6 separate regions of the Mus musculus genome follow, and regions 1, 3, 4, 5 and 6 are each reported to be linked to region 2. The links are microRNA targets in miRTarBase. Many come from high-throughput screens and were not tested one by one. Region 2 holds a microRNA gene; each other region holds the end of a gene's coding sequence.

Region 1 (3,219 bases), not on the chromosome of region 2:
AACTCATAGGAAGGTAGAATCTATGTCCTGTATGCCCACATTGGTAGCTCTGTCAGTCATAAGCTTGGGCTCCATCACACTAGTTACAGGGATGGGAATATACATCTGCTTACGGAAAGGTAAAAAGCATCACAGGGAAGATGACAATTTGGAAGTACAGATTCCATTGAAAGGAAAAATTGACTTGTGTATGAGAGAGAGAAAACCAGTGGATATTTCTAACATTTGATATGCCATTGTGGAATAACATGGAGGGACATTGTAACTGCCATAGGTAGTCTTTGTCAAGCAGACAACATTGTGCTGACACAGTTCCACTAAAGGACAATTAATTTATAACTTGTACTATATTGTAAATAGCTGTTTACAGGTTTTTAATGCAAAATCAGAAGTTATAAAATGTGTACAGAATTTTTAAATGAAAATTAGTACTAACAGCTATATCATTGTTATTTATATATATATATAAATACCTATATGTAAAATGTTGGATATAACTGGCAGCTCTAATACACCAAGCAGATGACTGTCAAAACTCAAGACTAAGGTAAGAGAAGTACATTTTTGTTGTTTCTAAAATGTCTTTTCACCACAAGAGGGCACCAGCTTCCCCTTTGCAGGGATCTGTGGCATTGTACATGATAGTTGTTGTACAGGAAATTAAGGAGAGAGTATATTTTAAATATATTGTTTTTAACATTAAATGTAAAATTAAGGTAAACTGAATTCTCTGCTTAAATATATGACAAGAAAGAAAAGAAATCCACTTGCAAACAGAAAATGTATTACCTCATAGGTACACCGATTTTAGTTTGAAAGAGAAGGCATTTTGAAAAGAAGTACAATTATTTAGGGGCAAGCATCAAAACACATTGCCATGTGTTATAAACTTGACCTGCTGAAGAGTGCGATGTTTCGTGTAACGCCTCCTGCTCTCTGTTTGCTTTCCTCCTGCACTTGCTAGAATTAAATGGGGTTAGGAACCATCTGTGTATTCTTCCGTTCGTGAAAAGCATCTAGACATTGTACTCAGTAAAAGATCAAGACACACATCAGTGTCTCAATCTCTACTTGCTTGCTTGGTGTTTATGATATCTTAGTGCACTCTTCGCTGGTCAGCAGCAAGTTTTCCGTGGGTTTTATGTTAGCGTGGGTCCACTTCTGTTCATCTACCCTATAAGAAAAATAAAAGTTGTATTCAGATTGAATTCTTCAAAAGGCTACTGTACGCTGTTGGTTGTTTGAGTTAGGCATTTTATATGAAAGTTACACTTTTTGTAGTTGTTTTGGACGATTAGCTAAAGTTCTGGCTTCCCTATTTGCTTCTGGAATACATCCAAAGTTTTATTTGTAAGCCCATCTGCAGATTATTTTGATGATTTAGTTTTTACCAGTCTTTTGCAATGAAGAAACCTGGTTTGTCGGTGATTTCTATCGCTTCCTTCTTTGCATGAGATGGGGATTTTATTTTATGTAAGAACTGTAGCAAAGTTGTCTGTGTAAACAAGAAATGTGTTAGCTTCAAAGTGAGTCGCTTTACTTATCACCCTCATGTGTCTGTACCATACCAAAATTGTTTATATGTCTGCAAATTAAAAGTTTATATTTTCACATTTTCTTGATTATTTTTACCATTTTATATTTGAACACTGGCTTGTTCTTTCACTGAAGTGCCTGCTATTGGTGTCTGTTTCTAGGATTAAGTGTGAGAAATAGTGGTATTCTGCTATGCTAAAGTTTATATTAAACTAATCCATGACCTAATTAAGCACTGGGTAAATTATTAAGGGTGTGTAAATTGTAGACATATATAGAAGAGAATTTGCTTATATGTTTAAGTTCCTATGAAAATTTGCATTCATGCATGACTATATTCCCATTAGCTAATTATAGACTTAATATCACTGTGAGTGTTCCCTCACATCCCAGCAACCTCTGTGCTTATTGTGTTTCACTAACTTGCAATATTTTAAGATAATAGCACACGATAAAAAAGCTTAAATATAAACACAGGACATATTAGATTTATATTAATTGCTTATTCTTGTTTTCTTCACTTTGATAATATAGATAAATAAATATATAAGGCAACAGAATCTAAGACAAAAAATTCAATATATTTTCATGAATGCTCCTTTTGTATGATAGACACTTGAAATAAAAGACTTATAAGACCATCAAAGCCCATAAACTGTTCATTCACAACTCTTACATAACAAAGAAGCAACACATTTTTTACAGTCAGTTTGTTTAGTTTTTTTTTTTTTAATAAAAGGAGAAGCTACATAAAAGACATGAGGCAGCATTAATAAAATAAATAAATCCTCCACAAGCTTCATGACTTTTAGCATCATTATAAAAAGAGAAAACATTCTATTCATTTCACAATTTGAGCATGGTTCATGTGTTTGGGGGCGGTTTGGTTATTGAACTTCATTTCTTGCATGAGAAATATCAATGACCTTAATAAAATTATGTATTCATAAATAATTTTGTTGTAGGATTTCCTTTGCATATTATTTTGTTCACATTAAAAGCAGACATAGCAGGGAAAGCTAAAGTAAATTAGGCTTAGACATAAAAGCTTCTTTTTCCTGAGACCCTGTGCTACAACTGTTGCCAAAATGTATGCTAATCATGTCAATGTTGTTAGTTAAGCTGGCACCAAGATAACTGTTCCATTCATTAAAAGACCTAATATCCATTTAACAGTTTGAGAGCCAGTGAGTTCCCTTGCCCAATTTAATGATGAAGGGATGTCTCTGATATCTGCCCTGCCAAATACATCTTACACTATGGAGGAAAGGGTTCATTAATTTGAACTTGAAAATATAAAACGAATATAGCAATTTCATCTGGGTAAGTAAATAATTCACATTATCTTTTCAATACTTGATTCATGATCATAAACTTTTTAAAAAGCTATTCATTTTTTTCTGGCAGATACACTTTTATCAAGAACTCAAAACTAGCACACACATACACACAAACACATACACAGAAACATACATATACACAAACACACATACTTACACAAATATACACACACACACAAACACACATACTCACACACAATCAAACATACACAAGCACACATAAACACAAACATGCACATACACAAGCACACACACACACACACACACACCTCTTAAAAAAAACCTAAGAAACTGGCACATTAGTAAAAACCTAATCCCTAGTATTTTAGATGCCAGTCCAGTG
Region 2 (3,000 bases):
GTCGGGAAGATGGAGAGGGAGCGGTGGCTAAGCTGTGTCTGGATTTCTGTTCCACTCTAGTGCAACTTCTCAAGTCCACGGACCTGGGCCGGCACAGCCTCCTGTACTTAAAGGAGATTGGCCACGGCTGGTTTGGGAAGGTAAGCATGCCCCGGGGTGGCAGGAATGGCAAAGGGTGGACCCACTACTCCTGGGGATCCCCTAGGGAGGGGCTCTTTCTAACACCCGCCCCAGACTGGACCATGTACCTGATTCCTTTTTCCTCATTGTAGTCCCCAGGCAGTGAGAAAAGTAGGAGCCTTGTGGGTGGACTGGGGCTGAGGGTTCTAGCCAGAGCTTGGTGAGAAGTTGTATGACCATCTGAGGCCCTGGGCGCTAGATGGCTTTTCCTATGGAGACTGAAAGGGGACCTGGTGATGCCTGTCACATTTGGCAGGTGTTTTTGGGGGAGGTACACTCGGGCGTCAGTGGCACGCAGGTGGTGGTGAAGGAGCTGAAGGTGAGCGCCAGCGTGCAGGAGCAGATGCAGTTCCTGGAGGAGGCGCAGCCCTACAGGTGGGTGGTGTGGCGGGGGCGGGGTGGGGCCGGGCAGGGGAGCAGCACAGTGGGAGAAACTGAGGGCTATGGGACACCCTCTCCTGCCCTCCAACTTAAACACCCGTGGACTCTTCCAGGGCCCTGCAGCACAGCAACCTGCTCCAGTGCCTGGCCCAGTGTGCTGAAGTGACCCCCTACCTGCTGGTTATGGAGTTCTGTCCACTGGTAAGTGGTCCTCTCGGGGAGGTAGCTCTGTCTCTCCCGGTCCTGTTCTGTAGCTCATTGTTCCAAAGGGGAGTGGCTCCTCTCTTGCTCAGCCTCTTGGGGTCTTTTGTTATTTCTAAAGTAGAGTCCTGGTAGTCCTTGCTCTCCCTCAGAGGAGGTCTGCGGAGAGAAAGTGAGCCAGCAGCAGCAGGGGCAACACTGTGGGGTCTTGGATAGTTCAGCGAGAGGTGTCCTGGGACAGCCACAGGGCTCCCGAAGCTCCTGGGGCAGAGCCTGAGTTCTGGGTCTTCGTGTTGCCCCTTGGGCCCTTTACATGCACAGCTCTGGTGGCTGCTTATATGGAGGTCACTGTGCCAGAATTGAGACACAGGCTTTGCTGAAACAGCAGTGAACACTAGGGTTCACAGCTGATCCACAGGCCACCAGACCCAGGTTCTCTTGGTGTGGGTGGCAGACTTGTGATGGGCTGGTCGCTGCAGCTAGCAGGTGACTGTGTGCTCTCTCGTCCATCAGGGGGACCTCAAAGGTTATCTACGGAGCTGCCGGGTGACAGAGTCCATGGCGCCTGACCCACTTACCTTGCAGCGCATGGCGTGCGAGGTGGCGTGTGGCGTCTTGCATCTACATCGACACAACTATGTACACAGGTGAGGGCTAGCGAGACTAGCCAGGCTACAGCTACAAAGCCCCACTCCCCCAGGGCCTTAACCCTCACCATCACACGACCCTGTGCAGAAAAGTCACGGTGATCCCACGTTGTGGGCCTCATGAACTGGGTTCATCTAAAAATAGCCACTCTGCAGGGAACTTTATCATTCTTAGAACTGGGAAAACTAACTGGGCATGGTGGCTCACGCCTTTAATTGCAGCGCTTGGGAGGCAGAGGTAGGAGAATCTCTGTGAGTTCAAGTCCTGCTAGGTCTACCTAATGAACTCCAGAATAGCCAGGACTATGTAGCAGGACCATCTCAAAATGAAATAAATTGTGAAGACTTGGCATTTGAAACTCACCTTGCAGACAGTTAAATGAAGAAACCCATCCTGTCTACTAGAGCAGTCAGCCATACTTGGGCTCCATACCAACCCCAGCCTCTTTCCCTCAGGCCACAAAGGGAGTGGCTGGGCTGGCCCTGTAGTGGGAGGGGTGGCTCTCTCCTGCCTCTGGTGGCCAGGATGCCCAGCCTCCCATGAGCTGGGGGCACATGCTGGAAGAAGTGGCAACGGACAAGCGGCCCACCAGCTCCAACGCTGCACAGGCCGTCCTCCCCAACAATATCCTGGTGCTGAGTGGGTGCACAGTGACTCCAGCATCAGTGATTTTGTTGAAGAGGGCAGCTGCCAGCCTCCTGCCCTGCCTGCTGCCTAGCCCAGCTGCCCCACCCATAGGCATGGACCCAGGTCACCCCACCCTGTCCCCTGACACAGTCCTCCTGGGGTAGAGGCAGGCCAAGGTGGCCCCATCTACATCCAGAGATCTCTCAGCAGAACAGCCAGTATGGCAGATGAGGGTGCGTCCCGTGGCACTCTATTGTCCTGTACCCCAAACACCTGGGGGTGGGGCGCTATAGCCAAGCAAGAGTTATACAGAGCCTGGCATTCCAGGCTTCCCACTGAGTTGGTGATTTTTATCCTCCACACAAAGGGGCCTTTGTGGTCCATACTGTTCTAGACCTCGGCTCCAGCTTGTGTAGCAGGCCAGGCAGGGCTGCACTCTAGAACATGGGCTCTGACTGCTGGCAGGACCCTCTGAGACACTCCGGGCTTCGGTTTCTCCATCAGTTCTTACCTCCTGGGGACTGGGATGGTGGAGTGTAGTCGGAAGGGTGAGGGTCCTGAGAGGACACTGCAGACTCTCTGCTCCATGGCTTGTTGGCCCTTGTTGGGCAGATCAGACAGAGGGTGGAGCGGGTTAGGGCTCTGGTGCAGTTAGACAGCACTTTGCTGGGGGGGGGGGGTCGTCCTTGAGCATCTTTTGCCTGATTTTCACATGCATTGAAGTGCATTGAAAACCGGGCTTGGTGGCGCAAGCCTTTAATCCCAGCACTTGGGAGGCAGAGTCAGGAGGATTTCTGAGTTCGAGGCCAGCCTGGTCTACAAAATGAGTTCCAGGACAGCCAGGGCTACACAGAGAAACCCTGTCTGGAAAAAAAAGAAAAAAAAGAAGAAGAAGAAGTATTAGAAATGCATTGAAGTCCACACAGGTCTTCCAAAATAGCCAGTACAGGGTGTGGAGCCAGA
Region 3 (3,219 bases), not on the chromosome of region 2:
TCTGACCCCCACAGGCACCAGTAATACATAGGGTGTACATCCATGCATGCAGGTGAAACATTTATACACATAAAATAAATAAATCTAAATTTTTTAAAGGTGTAAGCCTTCTTCTAGCCCTCATCAAACATACTCGGAACTCTTCTAATGAGGATATGAAGCTGTGTGGGTTTCTGTCACCAGCTCACACTCAGTTCAGAGTTGACTCCATCAACCCCTGAGAGACCCTGGGAGACTAGGTAGGCACTACTGCCTGAGCACCAGCAGCTGAGCATCCTGCCCCTGCCTCCTGCCTCCTGCCTCTCTGCCCTCACCCCTCTCTGGACCTATGATTCTTCCACCAAACCCCATCTTGGTGCCAGTTCTCTCTGTCCTGGTCCCCCTATAAATAGCCATTTTGTCTCCTTGGCGACAGGGAATGTATCGAGCAAGCCTGGCCACCTTCTTTTGTCCTGTAACCAGAATGGCGGCCACTGAGTGGCTAGGTACCCCTGAGCAGAAAAATTGTCCCTCTCTGGGCCTCCATCACCAGCTCTGGAGCCTACATTTCCCCTCTGGGTGTGACCATACTGGACCACCTATGGCTCCCCATTTGGGAGGGTACAGAGCAGGGAGGGGCCTGTTAGGCCAGACAAGAAAGAACAGGGCATGAAGTTCTTGAAGGGGGCCCATTTAAAGGGTATACTGGCGAGGTACCTGTCAAGTGTACCTTGGTTAGGTATCCAGTGTGGGCTCTGTGTGGGCTTCTATGCTCCCCTCCGGGGACCCAGGAGACCAAACTGGACCCTGGAGCTGTGTGGATCTAAGGAAGGTGGCTAAAGTTGGAGGGGAAGATGACCTCCCATTCCTAGGAGTATGCAAGCAGAGGCTGTTGATCCACGGCTGCCCCCAGCCCCTGGAGGTCTCCCCCACCCTCTCTGCCCTCATCTCCAGCCAAACTGGGATCTAGGCCTTCCCCACAGCTCATCAGACACCGAAGCCTGCTTCTTTTCACAACTCTTCAGGCATCTCCTTGGATCCGGGATGTCGGTGTCTTGCTAGGTCTTTGTCAGCAGTCCATGTTAGGAATTGTTTTCCATGGGCGGGGAGCCCTCAGTCCTAGGGCCTTAAGGGGAATGAGGGGAAGGTCCTCAAACCAGTTTGGGAACATTGGTTGGGAGACATGCCTCCTGGCTGCTCAGGTGGGAGAATAGCCTCGGGGTTCCATGGGTATGAAGGAACAAGGTGTACCTTCCCAATACAGCATTAAACCTCTCTGGAAGATACCAGCCTTGGGTGTGGTGATCACAGCACTGGGCTAGAGGGACGTAGATGGTGTATGTTCTTGATAACAGGTGACTGCAGTCTCAGTAACAGGAAGTACTGAGGTTAGCCTCGGAGCAGGACTTACTTCTATCAGTTCTAGAAAGACCAAAGCTACTCACCTCCCCCCACACCCCCCGTGGATGGGACCACCCAGAGAAGGCCACATGAGAGAGAATGGGGTGAGAGGCAAGGGCTGGTGGTGGGAGAATGAAGGCTGGCTTTGTGTTGTAGGGAAAGGAGGCGTCTCCATGTGGGCGGTGCTCTGGGTATAGAAGGGCACACAGACACACCCTGTAACCATTGCACCCTAACCAATTCCACCATGACCACCATGTTCAGAGGAGCCCCTGTTTGTCCCTGTTTGTCCCCACCCCTCAGCTACTAGGTCTGCACACAGGCCCTGGCATAGCCACACCCTCCTCAGCCTCCTCCTGCCTCTAGCTTCTGACCCATTCACACTTGTTCCTGCCCTCAAAGAGGCTGGACACTTCCTTGCCCAGTGTGAGCCACAACTTTTCCCATAGGCTCCCACTGAGCCCATCAAAGCCACGATCCACAATTGCTTGCCTAAATGGGACCCTGAACCACCACTACTACCCCAGTAAAAACCCACAGAACACATGTATTTGGATTTTTTTTCCTTTGCAGATTTTTTTTAGTAGACATAGTCTTTTTTTCTCTCTCTCATTTTACAGCAAACTTTGCAAATATAGATTTTTTTTTCTGTACAATAGAACAGCTACAGTGTACAATAAAGATGGGGTCGAGGTGGAGGGACCACACAATGTTTCCCAGCCTGCACCCCTCTTGCCACCCTGACTGGTCCCCAGGCACAGTCTTCACCTCCCCACTAGAGTCTCACAGGCTCCAGATGCTCCACCCCTCTGCACTCCACAGCCTGGGAGATCATATTTAGGGGGTGCCATGAAGCTGGCTAGACTTGGTCACATGCCCCACGCTAGGTGATTTAGTTCTTTCTTCTTTCTCTCTCTTTTATTTTTTTTAAAGATTTTCACTTTTATATATATATTTTTTAAAAAGGAAGAAAATAAAGAGAGAGAAGAAGGAAAAGGAAGAGAAGACTCAAAACAGGAAAGATAATGGAAAAACTTCCCCTCCCCCACCCCCACCCGTAAGACACAGTTTTCCGAAGTCCCATGTGTGCATGTGTGTGCATGTGCATGTGTGAGTGTGTGCAAATGTTTGTGTGTGCACGCGCACATGCATGTGTGTGCATTTGTGTGTGTGAATGTATGTGTGAGTGTAAGTGTGTGAATGTGTGAGTGTATGTGAGTATGTGAGTGTGTGAGTGTGTGTGTGTGTGTGTGTGTGTGTGTGTGTGTGTCTTGCTTGCTTGCACCAGGCAGCAGGCACATTACAGTTTACATGGAAGTTAGTATATCTACTGTCTCGGCCACCTGCGGCCTCCCCAAGCTGTCCCTGTGGGCCAGGTGCTGTATGCAGCGGCCCCTGGTTGTGCACATATGTTGGATTTAGTGTTAAGTCTCAGTCAGGGATAGCTGCTGTGGGTGGTCTATCCTTTTTGGTCCAATGGGCATCACGAGTTTCGGAGAGGACAGGGCCAGGCTTCCTTGGGCCCTGCCAAAGGGTGGAGGGAGGTTCAGGACTTGTGCTGGGCAGACACGCCTTTCCAGTAGTCTAGGATGTCATGCAGGTCCTCGTCTTTGGCAAACTGAACCTTCTTGCGCAGGGCGTGGCCAGCCGCCATGAACTCCGCATCATCCTTGTGTCTCCGTCGGCTCAGTCTGAGACGCTCCCAGATGCTTGGGGATGCCCTGCAGGTGTACTCGGGGCTGGATGAATAGCTCAGGTTGTGGTACTGTGGGGACAGCTGCGAGTAGACGAGGTCTCGGGGTCGTGGCCGGGTCAGAGGCTCCAGGATGGATGCCTTGC
Region 4 (3,219 bases), not on the chromosome of region 2:
GCGACCCTGTGGCTTTGCAATGGAGGTTGTGTAGGAATATCACACTTGAGTCTTAACTTTCTCTGATGTGACCCTCACATTGCGCGTGGTTCCAGCTCCCCAGCTGGGTCTTTACCTAATACTATATTGGGCCAGGAGAGTTTGTGGATCCCCAGCCTGGTGGAGCCTGGCTGTGAGCAGCTGCTTCTGGCTTACTGGAGAGGGAGGGCCTGAGCATAGATGGGCATCCAGGCACAGTCGGGCTTCATTTTTCTGACTCTCATTTCTCTTTTCTCCCTGCTCTTTGTCCAGCCTTACTAAAGATCACAGGAAGAGACCAAAGTATAATAAGCTACTTGTGAGTACCTCTCCCCCAACCCCCACCACGTGTGAAGTCCTCCGGGTCTCAGTTGCAAGACCAGGAGGACTGACTCCTCATAATAAGCAAACTCTTGGGCCTACAGGAACACAGCTTCATCAAGCACTATGAGATACTCGAGGTGGATGTCGCGTCCTGGTTTAAGGATGTCATGGCGAAGACCGAGTCCCCAAGGACTAGTGGAGTCCTGAGTCAGCACCATCTGCCCTTCTTCAGGTAGCCTCATGGCAGCGGCCAGCCCCGCAGGGGCCCCGGGCCACGGCCACCGACCCCCCCCCCAACCTGGCCAACCCAGCTGCCCATCAGGGGACCTGGGACCTGGACGACTGCCAAGGACTGAGGACAGAAAGTAGGGGGTTCCCATCCAGCTCTGACTCCCTGCCTACCAGCTGTGGACAAAAGGGCATGCTGGTTCCTAATCCCTCCCACTCTGGGGTCAGCCAGCAGTGTGAGCCCCATCCCACCCCGACAGACACTGTGAACGGAAGACAGCAGGCCATGAGCAGACTCGCTATTTATTCAATCATAACCTCTGGGCTGGGGTAACCCCCAGGGGCAGAGAGAAAGCCCCTTGTCCCCATCCCCCCAAACTCCCAGTGTCTGTCCCCTCCACCTTCTCTCGCACACATGCTTGCTCTACGTCTTTCCTTCTGTCCCCTCCCTCTCTACCACTGTCCCTTTCTGGTTCCCCTGTCTCCCTCCCAGCCTCTGAAGCCTGGGTGCCGCCACTCTACCCTCAGTGGAAGGAAGCCCCAGGTTCATCTAGGCTTCCTTAAGTCTTTGTCCTAGGATGGCTTTGTGGGCATTGTGACTGCAGCCAAATGGTTGCTGTCTCTGTGTCTGTCTGTCTCTCTTTGATCTCAGGGGGTCCTTTTGGAGTTTATTGTATTTTATTGTACTTGGTGGGGGTGTGTTGGGGGGGGGGTGTCCTCATGGGGTCGGTACCTTCAGAAAATTTTACCAAAGTAATGTTTAGCTGCTTGTGGTGGCCCCCTCTCCTCCATTGCCTCAGGCATTGGGGGTTGGACTGCTTGCTGCTCCTTGTCATTTCTGGCCTAGGAGAGGCCAGGCTCCATGGGGGACCCTCACATGGGACTGGGAGCTGCTGACAGTTTGGGGTTGAGTAGAAGAGCTCAGGTGGCACAGAGGGAGACCAGGGGCCTCAGCCACACGATGGCCTTCAGGGAAGGTGTATGAGGGATGCAGTAGAGAGTAGCAGGTAGCAGGGAGGGACTGTTGGGAACAGTGACAGGAGGGAATCCTGCCAAGGGGCAGGAGGGGTCCCGAGAAGTCAGGGATTAGGAGTGAAGGGAGTAGATGTGGAGGTCCGAGCATGTGAATCAGGGACGAGACGGACAGGCGTGAATGCAGGGGAGGCCAGAGTATTGGGATGCGACGCGACTTACTCCCAACATGCCCCTGAGCATGCTTTAGCTCACCTAGAGCTGACCAGCTCCAACCCAACCTGTGGCCTGGACTGGGCCAGGTGCCTGTCCCATTGTCCTGCAGTTTCGAGGACAGAGTGGGGTATGTTTCCTTTTTGTTGGTGATGCATGCAGTTCAAGTGGACAAGAGAACAATATAACAAAACAAAAAAATTTACAACCACAAATCCCAGCACCAAAGTTGAGAAACCTTGCTGGAAGTAGCTGATGCAACCATACGTAGGCTTAGGTGACACTGTGGCTCTTAACTGTCCTGTTGACGCCTCTTCATCCTATTCTCACAATGCCGCATGCTTAAATCGTAATAGAAGTCATCTTCTATGCCCGGGTAGGGTAGGGCACCCTCTCTCCTTATCTCCTGTGTTGGGGAGGCGGAATGAAGTAGGGAGAGAGTAGCAAGCCCGGCCCCACCCTTACCATTCTGAGGCTGGCCGCAGCATGGCTAGCCTTTGTGTGTACTTAGGTCACATGGCTGGTCCCAGGGCCAGCACAGGCCCAAGACTGGGCCTGATGGTTTTATTTTTATTTAACTTTATTTTCTGTGTGTTGTCTGTCTGTCTGTCTGTCTGTGTTGTCTTTGTCTACTGCCCTCTAATGTTAAGTGGGAGTCTGGAGGAGTCTCCCACTTCCCCACCTTCTCCCAAGTCCTTCCCTCTGTCACCAGCCATCCCTCAGGCCCAGGCAGAGTGGGTCTCGGGCAGGTAGGGACCTGGAGTGGCCTGGTCCCACCCTCTGACCTCCTCCTCAGGCCACCAGTGTTGCCCTCTTCCCTTTTTAAAACAAAATACCCTTGTTTGTAAATCCTTAGACGCTTGAGAATAAAACCCTTCCCTTTTCTTCCGAGTCTGGTGTCCTAAGCCTGGTAGAGTGTACAGAGATATGGGAAGGGCCTGGGAGGAGGGCTTTTAGTGTGGTTAGGGATGACATTCATGGGAAACTAGCCGGGCCGGGAGCTGGGTGGGAGGTGTTTGGAGTGACCGAAGGCATCAGGCAGCTTTGTGAGGGGCCCCCCTTGTAGAAATTTCAGTACATCAAGAAAGCCCTTATCCATGGCTGGCCTTGAGCATGTGCTCAGATGTCAGCCCCTCCATCCTCCGCCCCCGCTCCCTGCTTCCCAGGGTGGCAGCCTCACCAAGGCCAGGGCTACCTACCCACACCTAGAGGGCTGGGTACAGCCCAGCCAGGTGCTCGCTGCCGGTCTGGAGCACTCGAACCTGGACAGGCCGCCATGGTGGGCACTGCGCTCCTGCTCCTGGCCCTGCTCCCTGGGACCTCCAGTAAGCACGGTACACCACGTGGTACGTAGAGGCTGCCACGGGGTGGGGGCATTGTGTCCCACTTGCCCATTGTCCCTTCTCAACTGCGTTTTGCACCTGGATGTGTGTGGTGGTGTGGGGAGGGGGAGGGGTGCCATCC
Region 5 (3,219 bases), not on the chromosome of region 2:
TTTTGATGCAAGGCTCAGGGCTGGGTCCAGATGGACCAATGGCAGCATCATAGTAGAAGCCTCTAGAATGCTTTGTGTGTCAGCAATCCCTGGCACATTTTCTGGGGGTCAGATGACTGGCTAAAGGCTGTTCTCTCACAGTGTTAGATACTCTTCTTTTTATGGTGTCCAGATGAAGGTCGAAGTGTATTAGGTATGTTCTTGGGCCTGTTTGGGTTTTTTCTGATATAATTCTAACACATTCATGTATCTGCATGTTCCCTGTCTACTTTGGTGAGTTGGTAGGTAGTACGGTTTTCCTTGAAAGAATATCCTAAGCCTAACCCATGGTTCATGTTGGACATGGTAGTAGTGTTTGTGCATACCAACACAGCATGAAGAGTCTGCCTCTGGATTTTTGTATTGCTCATGTAAAGGGAGGCAGATTAAGGGCAAGGCCACCTAAAAAGCAATCAGTCGCTGGGCGTGGTGGCGCACGCCTTTAATCCCAGCACTTGGGAGGCAGAGGCATTCGAGGCCAGCCTGGTCTACAAAGTGAGTTCCAGGACAGCCAGAGCTATACAGAGAAACCCTGTTGCAACAAACAAACAAACAAACAAACAAAAAAGCAATCAGTCGTTGCCTCATACGGTATGAAGTAGATTGAAGTAACTCCGTCTCTCCACTCAGCTATGCCTTTCATTGATGAAGGCAAACAGGTGCTAATCATAGCCTTCATTGCTCATTCATTCATGCGTAAAAAAGTTGCCTCAAAACTTAGCTTTAAAAACAAGTTATTGAGCTAGAGGTTAGAGGTCTGTGGGTCTCAGGATCTGGTAGCAGACTTGGGAAACAGGATCCTAGGGAGCCTGGACAACTCCCTTCAGCGTCTGACCATCCTGAAAGAGTACAGTAAGCAGGGTGTCTATACGTTGCTTTTAGTGGCGCACACCAAAACCCATTTTGACATTTACTTTAGGTCACGGAGAGGTAGAAGGCAAAATTAGGTTTTACAAAAATAAAACAAGCTTCCAACAGCCTGTCAAGTTAACTACAGCTCAGATTTGAGCTGCATTAGCAAAGACTGCAAGCATTAGCTCTGCCCATTCCTCTCCTGGAAGTGACCGCTAAAGGCTTCAGTATGTGTTTGAAATCACATATCTTACTTCTTCCCTTGCAGGATTAGACCTCACGCTCTTATAATTTCCATGTTCCTTACACTTATTTCTATAAACACGTTAAAAGCCACTACCTTCCTGAAAATCATGCTGCATTTTGAGGACAGTTCTTATTCAGATTAGCCGTCTTTGTAGAAAAACGGATGCAAGGCTACCGATGGCTAGGTGCAGTACTCCTTTCCACCAGCAGATGGCGGCCTTATCCCAGTCTACCTTAGATCCTGCTTAGCAAATTCTTGGAAAAGCAGTCTGATACAACTCTTAATAAGATTAAATGTGTCAGGCTGAATTCCAACTCCTCATTTTCCTGAAATATACAATCCCTCCCCGCACAATGAATACTCAAAATGTGTGAAGACTTGCATTAAAATGTTCAGTTTCTTATTAAGTCTTGTGCCACACATAAAAGTTTTAAGTTCGCACGCACACACGCACGAATGCACGCTCACACACTTACCCCTATGAATGATCTTTTTGTGGAACAACATTAAATAAATGTTGGCTTGAAATGAGTCAACTCCTCCAGCAATGGTAACTTTAGAATGAAAGGAACCTACTAGGGACCACGTGTTAACGGGTGGCATAGTACTAAGCTAAATGGTGTTTTGGAAGCAATAGTTGGTCTTTTAAAACACACACACACACACACACACACATCCCTACACAAGAAGAATTCACTTCATTCCTTCAATATGGCAGATGCTCACCTCCAGTCCGGCAAGAGAACAGTGAATTTGCTTCCTGTCTGTGTATTCCTTCTTGGAGTAAGCAGTTTGTAGTGTCATGTTACATGAATCCAAATTCAGCATTCATTGTTTAAAGAGACAAAAAAATATGAAAAATATTTGCGACTGTTCCCAGATTTTATCTCTGATGGGTTGGAAATCATCTCGAGCAGGGCTTTACTGCAGCCACTCAAAGACGGGACGCCGGACGTCTAAAGAAAACGCTGACTCACTCGTGACTAAGATGAAGGTTACAAGGAAGACTAAACATTTATTTAGAAGTTACAGTGTTTGTTTTTACAGAGATATGTTGCCACCGATTATTGATTCTGGGAGACTGTTAATGCTTAGAGTGCTGTACACATCTGGGGCTTTTCTCGTGACATCTTGGAAACCTGTCCTGTGCCACCAAATTGGAGTGGCTTCCAGGTGGCTCCAGTCTGCGGCATGATGGCCTTTGCTTTATCCCTGTGTTCTTCATGAACAGTGTGCTTAGGGTCCTTCCACCAAGTGGCCCGAGGGCCTCCTGGTGTCCGTGGTAGCTGCAGGTTCTGGGATCCATCTGCAGCCTGACCATCTATGATACTCATTTCCACTGGTCTCCAGTTACTCAGCTGCTTGCTTTCTGTCTTGTGCCAGAAAGGGGAGGATTCCATATCTCTCCAGAATTATAGAAACACATATACATTTATTTACAAGTGCATAAATATATAAATATGGCTATAATAGAAAAATAAATACCAATTTTTCTCTGTCAACAAACAAACAAACAAACAATATATAGTCTTTCTGGGATATTAGCTTCGGCCTAAATTGTGGGAGGTGGTGTTTCAAAGGACACATGAACTGATGGGCTAGGCGAGAACCGCATCCCACGTTCCTGTCCTGTGTAGGTCCCTGATGGATGCTGGGAACTCCAGTCTCCTCCACCCACTTGGCAGGAGTCAGAACTGTCTACTTCTTCAACTGGTACAAGACCTAAACAGCACTGGGGCCCTGTGAGGGGAAAACGTAGGCGACATTAAAATCTAGACTCACTATGCAGTCCTGCGCTACTCTCTACCTATAGCTGGTCACACTGGCCCTGGAAGGGGAGGACCCTTACAATTCATCTATGTTGGGACCAAAGGCATTAGACTTCAAAGCACTCGACTTGTAGCCATCAGCTACGTACACACAAAACACAAAGGGATGCCCGGCTCTCTCTAGCCAGGCTGTGTTCTACCTCACGATCCAACCAAACCTTGTTTTCATGACGACTGGCCTGGCTTTGGAGCTGATGGTCTTTTAGAATTTCATGTCCTAGAGACAGGGTCTAGGGTCCTCATGGCAGGAGC
Region 6 (3,219 bases), not on the chromosome of region 2:
TCTCGACACTTGCACCTCATTCAGCAATCGGGGGAAACCCAACCTTAAATCAATGGTCCCAAGTGAAGAACGTCACCAGCACCCTCCCACCAGAGGCAGCAGTCCTCAGTATTCTGCATATGCAACTATGGTCCACGCTGCTTTCCAGTTCCTCATCAAGTCAGCCAAGTTTGGCTTCCATTCCTTCTTTGGTAGGAATTGTCCTTTGCCTGTCCAGGACTCTCCCTCCACTCCTCCTCCAGGGGCAAGTAGGCTTTGTCAGATGCAATAGGGATGAAAACAGGTTTTTGCAGCTTTCCCCACAACACCCTAAGGCATTTAAACCCTTCAGAGCTCGGAACCTAGGGTAGGTGGGCAGGGCTTTACCCCTGTCCCCAGTTACTTCCTGCTTGCCTGGCCTCCTTACCAGGACTTTCGTGAGCTCCGCTTGGTTCTTTTCCAGGCACAGACCTTTGGATCTAAGAGGCAAATCCTTAACTGAGAAAGTTAGTAAGTCCCCTTAAATGAGACTTGTAGCTATTCCAAAAATGACACACTAGTCCTCACACAGCCTTTAAGAATTTATAAAATGGGGCTGGAGAGATGGCTCAGCTGTTAAGAGCACTGATTGCTCTTCCAGAGGTTTTGAGTTCGATTCCCAGCAACCACATGGCGGCTCACAACCATCTGAAATGGGATCTGATGCTCTCTTATGGTATGTCTGAAGACTGCAACAGTGTACTCAAATATACAGAATAGATCTTTTTTTTTAAAAAAAAAAGAACTTGTAAAATGATCCTACACAATGAACTACAGTAAATTAAGGAATGTCGAGACAGGTGCAAACACTCTTCCCCAGGGAACAGCATAATTTAGTTATCTAACTTCAAATGGTCAGCCCTGAAAACATACATGCAAGTAACATTATACAGTGTGGGCAGGTTGTACTTATATATTTAGAAGCTAGACAGTCATGCATATATGAATTTGAAAAGAGCAGGGAGGAGCATATGACAGGCTGAGAGGACGGAAGGGAAGACTAAATGATGTGATTATCTTGAAGTAAGATGTTGGCTGTGGTGATATTAGCCACCTTTCTCTTGTGCTCTGAAGAGGAGGCAGTCTCTGTCCTTTTTCTCCTTGGAGCTTCCCATTCTTTGAGATTCAGTTTGTTTTGTAATCCCACTTTCAGTTGTTCAAGGCATGGTAATTTTTTTGACTGCCTGGCTTTTTCCCTGGTTATGGTAATGACAATCTCAAGGCCTGCGACAGCTTCTTCAAAAGCAGAGAGGAATACCAAAGTCGCTCCTCCCATCTTTCTCAAGTTGTTATTTCTGCCATCACATCTGACACCACGTGTAGATGCTTCTGCATTCTCTGGCGGACCTTAACCCCACAAAAAGTTGTCTCGGTCACCATAGGAGATTTGGTTCACATTCACATAAATACCAAAATAAAAAATAAGCCATCAGATCCTCTCATACACTATAAATTACCCTGTATTTCACTCATAATACCTAATACAAGGCAAATAGCTAAAACTGACAGTCAGGGAATGACAACAGAAAGTCTGTGCGTGGTCATAATCGCTGGGATGTTTTCAACTGTTTGATGAGGAGCCGGATGACTCCACATACACAGCACTCGCCGTATAAAGGACCAACCACATTCTATCGCTTCATTATGTAATCCCTTATACCACATCAGAGAACACGGTACTCAGAACTGAAGGGGATGCTATGCATGACATGTACCCATGTGTTCTGACTACTTAAAAGTGCCCTCAGGAGTGTAAGGAGCAGAGGGAGAAGAGAGACAGGCGCTTAAAGGCGAACAAACTAGGGGATCGCGTTCATACCTAGCAGTTTCCATTTGTAATCTGCGTGGGAAATGTGTCTGCAATACTGAACGGGTTCAGAACAAAATAAATGAGAACGATACATCCTAATCCAATCTTCAAGTAAGTCTAAGAAAAGCTGAAATAAACAGCAAACTATGAATACATAATTCCTTATTATTTATTCTCCTCTTACAAAAGACACTTGGACAAATAAATATAAAATGGCATATGTCATATTTAGAAATGGCCAAGGACACACCTGGGTACTCCTCACAGGGATACACTAATACAATCTTCAGATGCACACTCCTCCTCCCCACCGCCCACCTCTTTAATTTTTTTTAAAAAGTCAATTATTTTATTTTAATTCTCCACAATTTTTAACAATGAATTATCAAAATAAGTAATCTAACACTACTCAGAGACAAAGACATTTAAATGAAAAGATTTAAAAAATACTTGTGTGTACAAACACACACAATATGTTGCCCAGAAACTCCAACTAATGACTAATACAAGATTAATTTTGTAGGTGACATGTCACAACTCTCCGTAAGTGCGAACAAACACCAGAAAGCCCACAGCCAAGAGCCAGAGTAGCACATCAGCATGCAGTCAGCATCCTATGGCGGCCGGCAGGTCCCAGGCATCGGGGCTCAGTGACAGCCTTACAGTCAGCCTCCTCACAGTGAAGACGATGCTTCAGGCCGGATGCAGACCATGTCCCCTCATGAGACCCACACACATCACTGCTGACGTAAGCTCCAGAGCACATCTCTCTCTGGAGCAGGAACTTGAAAACAGACAGGATAAACAGGAGTTGTGTGGAACCTGCCTGCAGCAATCTTTTATTTTCCTTTAAGGCTACAGAAAATCTGCGCATAAGCAAGGAAATTAATTCTCATAATAAAAATACCCCTACAAATAGCCAAGGTTTCCAGTCAGGTTCCACATGGAGAGAGTCTGCTGTACCACATTTTATTCTGAGGGCGTACTTTGTGAGTCCACTGGGTTAGGATCAATTCTTTCTGGAAATACGAGCTTCTCACAAACTGCTTCCTTAATTGGTAAATATTGTGATATTTCATTAGGTTCCGTGAAGAGGGAAGGTGGAACATGCTAGGAAAAACATAAAATCGTATTAGTATATTCTCAGTTATGGCTCACACGATTTCTGAAACCTTCTAGTGTAAGAGTTCACAAAGCATGCTAATTTCAGCCCTGGGGACACTCCACGTAAGGAGGAGCATTGAGTGCTCCCCCAGATAACAGCTGCTTCCTGTTACTCAATCGTTCAACTGTGTGGCTGATCTTCAAGGAACTTGGTGTCATAACTGACAGTGCTACTGTAAGTGCTAAAAGAATCCCACACATTTTGATCAAATCCCTCCCTAGTACCC

The links. Region 2 holds the annotated microRNA mmu-miR-338-5p (AACAAUAUCCUGGUGCUGAGUG, at 2,031-2,052, shown strand). A microRNA usually pairs through its seed, bases 2 to 8, with sites in the 3' UTR of a target mRNA and lowers its output. Matches are read on the target gene's strand: a 7mer-m8 pairs with bases 2 to 8, a 7mer-A1 pairs with bases 2 to 7 and ends in A, and an 8mer does both.
Region 1: the mRNA of Pcdh20 is a reported target of mmu-miR-338-5p. Seed matches in the 3' UTR shown: 8mer at 348-355 and 7mer-m8 at 685-691.
Region 3: the mRNA of Elfn1 is a reported target of mmu-miR-338-5p. Seed matches in the 3' UTR shown: 7mer-A1 at 2,053-2,059 and 7mer-A1 at 2,032-2,038.
Region 4: the mRNA of Map2k7 is a reported target of mmu-miR-338-5p. Seed matches in the 3' UTR shown: 7mer-A1 at 1,240-1,246 and 7mer-A1 at 1,250-1,256.
Region 5: miRTarBase lists Boc as a target of mmu-miR-338-5p. Seed matches in the 3' UTR shown: 7mer-m8 at 2,656-2,662.
Region 6: the mRNA of Tiprl is a reported target of mmu-miR-338-5p. Seed matches in the 3' UTR shown: 7mer-m8 at 2,297-2,303.

What each region holds. Positions count from the first base shown.
Region 1 is chr14:88,464,014-88,467,232 of GRCm38, reverse strand. Pcdh20 (protocadherin 20) reads left to right here. Exons shown (of 3, transcript NM_178685.5): 3 at 1-2,486. The coding sequence ends at 229. Among named protein-coding and RNA genes, the nearest start is that of Pcdh20, 5.8 kb to the left of the region's middle.
Region 2 is chr11:120,013,868-120,016,867 of GRCm38, reverse strand. It overlaps Mir338 (microRNA 338), which reads left to right and starts at 2,006; the gene lies at 2,006-2,103. Aatk (apoptosis-associated tyrosine kinase) reads left to right here. Exons shown (of 14, transcript NM_001198785.1): 4 at 61-140; 5 at 437-555; 6 at 675-762; 7 at 1,276-1,409. It overlaps Mir3065 (microRNA 3065), which reads right to left and starts at 2,101; the gene lies at 2,015-2,101.
Region 3 is chr5:139,973,437-139,976,655 of GRCm38, reverse strand. It overlaps Elfn1 (leucine rich repeat and fibronectin type III, extracellular 1), which reads right to left. Exons shown (of 2, transcript NM_001384186.1): 2 at 1,931-3,219. The coding sequence ends at 2,927. Among named protein-coding and RNA genes, the nearest start is that of Elfn1, 67 kb to the right of the region's middle.
Region 4 is chr8:4,245,252-4,248,470 of GRCm38, forward strand. It overlaps Map2k7 (mitogen-activated protein kinase kinase 7), which reads left to right. Exons shown (of 12, transcript NM_001164172.1): 11 at 292-337; 12 at 444-2,646. The coding sequence ends at 578. Tgfbr3l (transforming growth factor, beta receptor III-like) reads left to right here and starts at 2,963. Exons shown (of 7, transcript NM_001195258.1): 1 at 2,963-3,101. The coding sequence starts at 3,032.
Region 5 is chr16:44,482,922-44,486,140 of GRCm38, forward strand. It overlaps Boc (biregional cell adhesion molecule-related/down-regulated by oncogenes (Cdon) binding protein), which reads right to left. Exons shown (of 19, transcript NM_172506.2): 19 at 2,124-2,878. The coding sequence ends at 2,691. Among named protein-coding and RNA genes, the nearest start is that of Gm30064, 46 kb to the right of the region's middle.
Region 6 is chr1:165,212,943-165,216,161 of GRCm38, forward strand. Tiprl (TIP41, TOR signalling pathway regulator-like (S. cerevisiae)) reads right to left here. Exons shown (of 7, transcript NM_145513.4): 7 at 1-2,938. The coding sequence ends at 2,798. Among named protein-coding and RNA genes, the nearest start is that of Sft2d2, 20 kb to the left of the region's middle.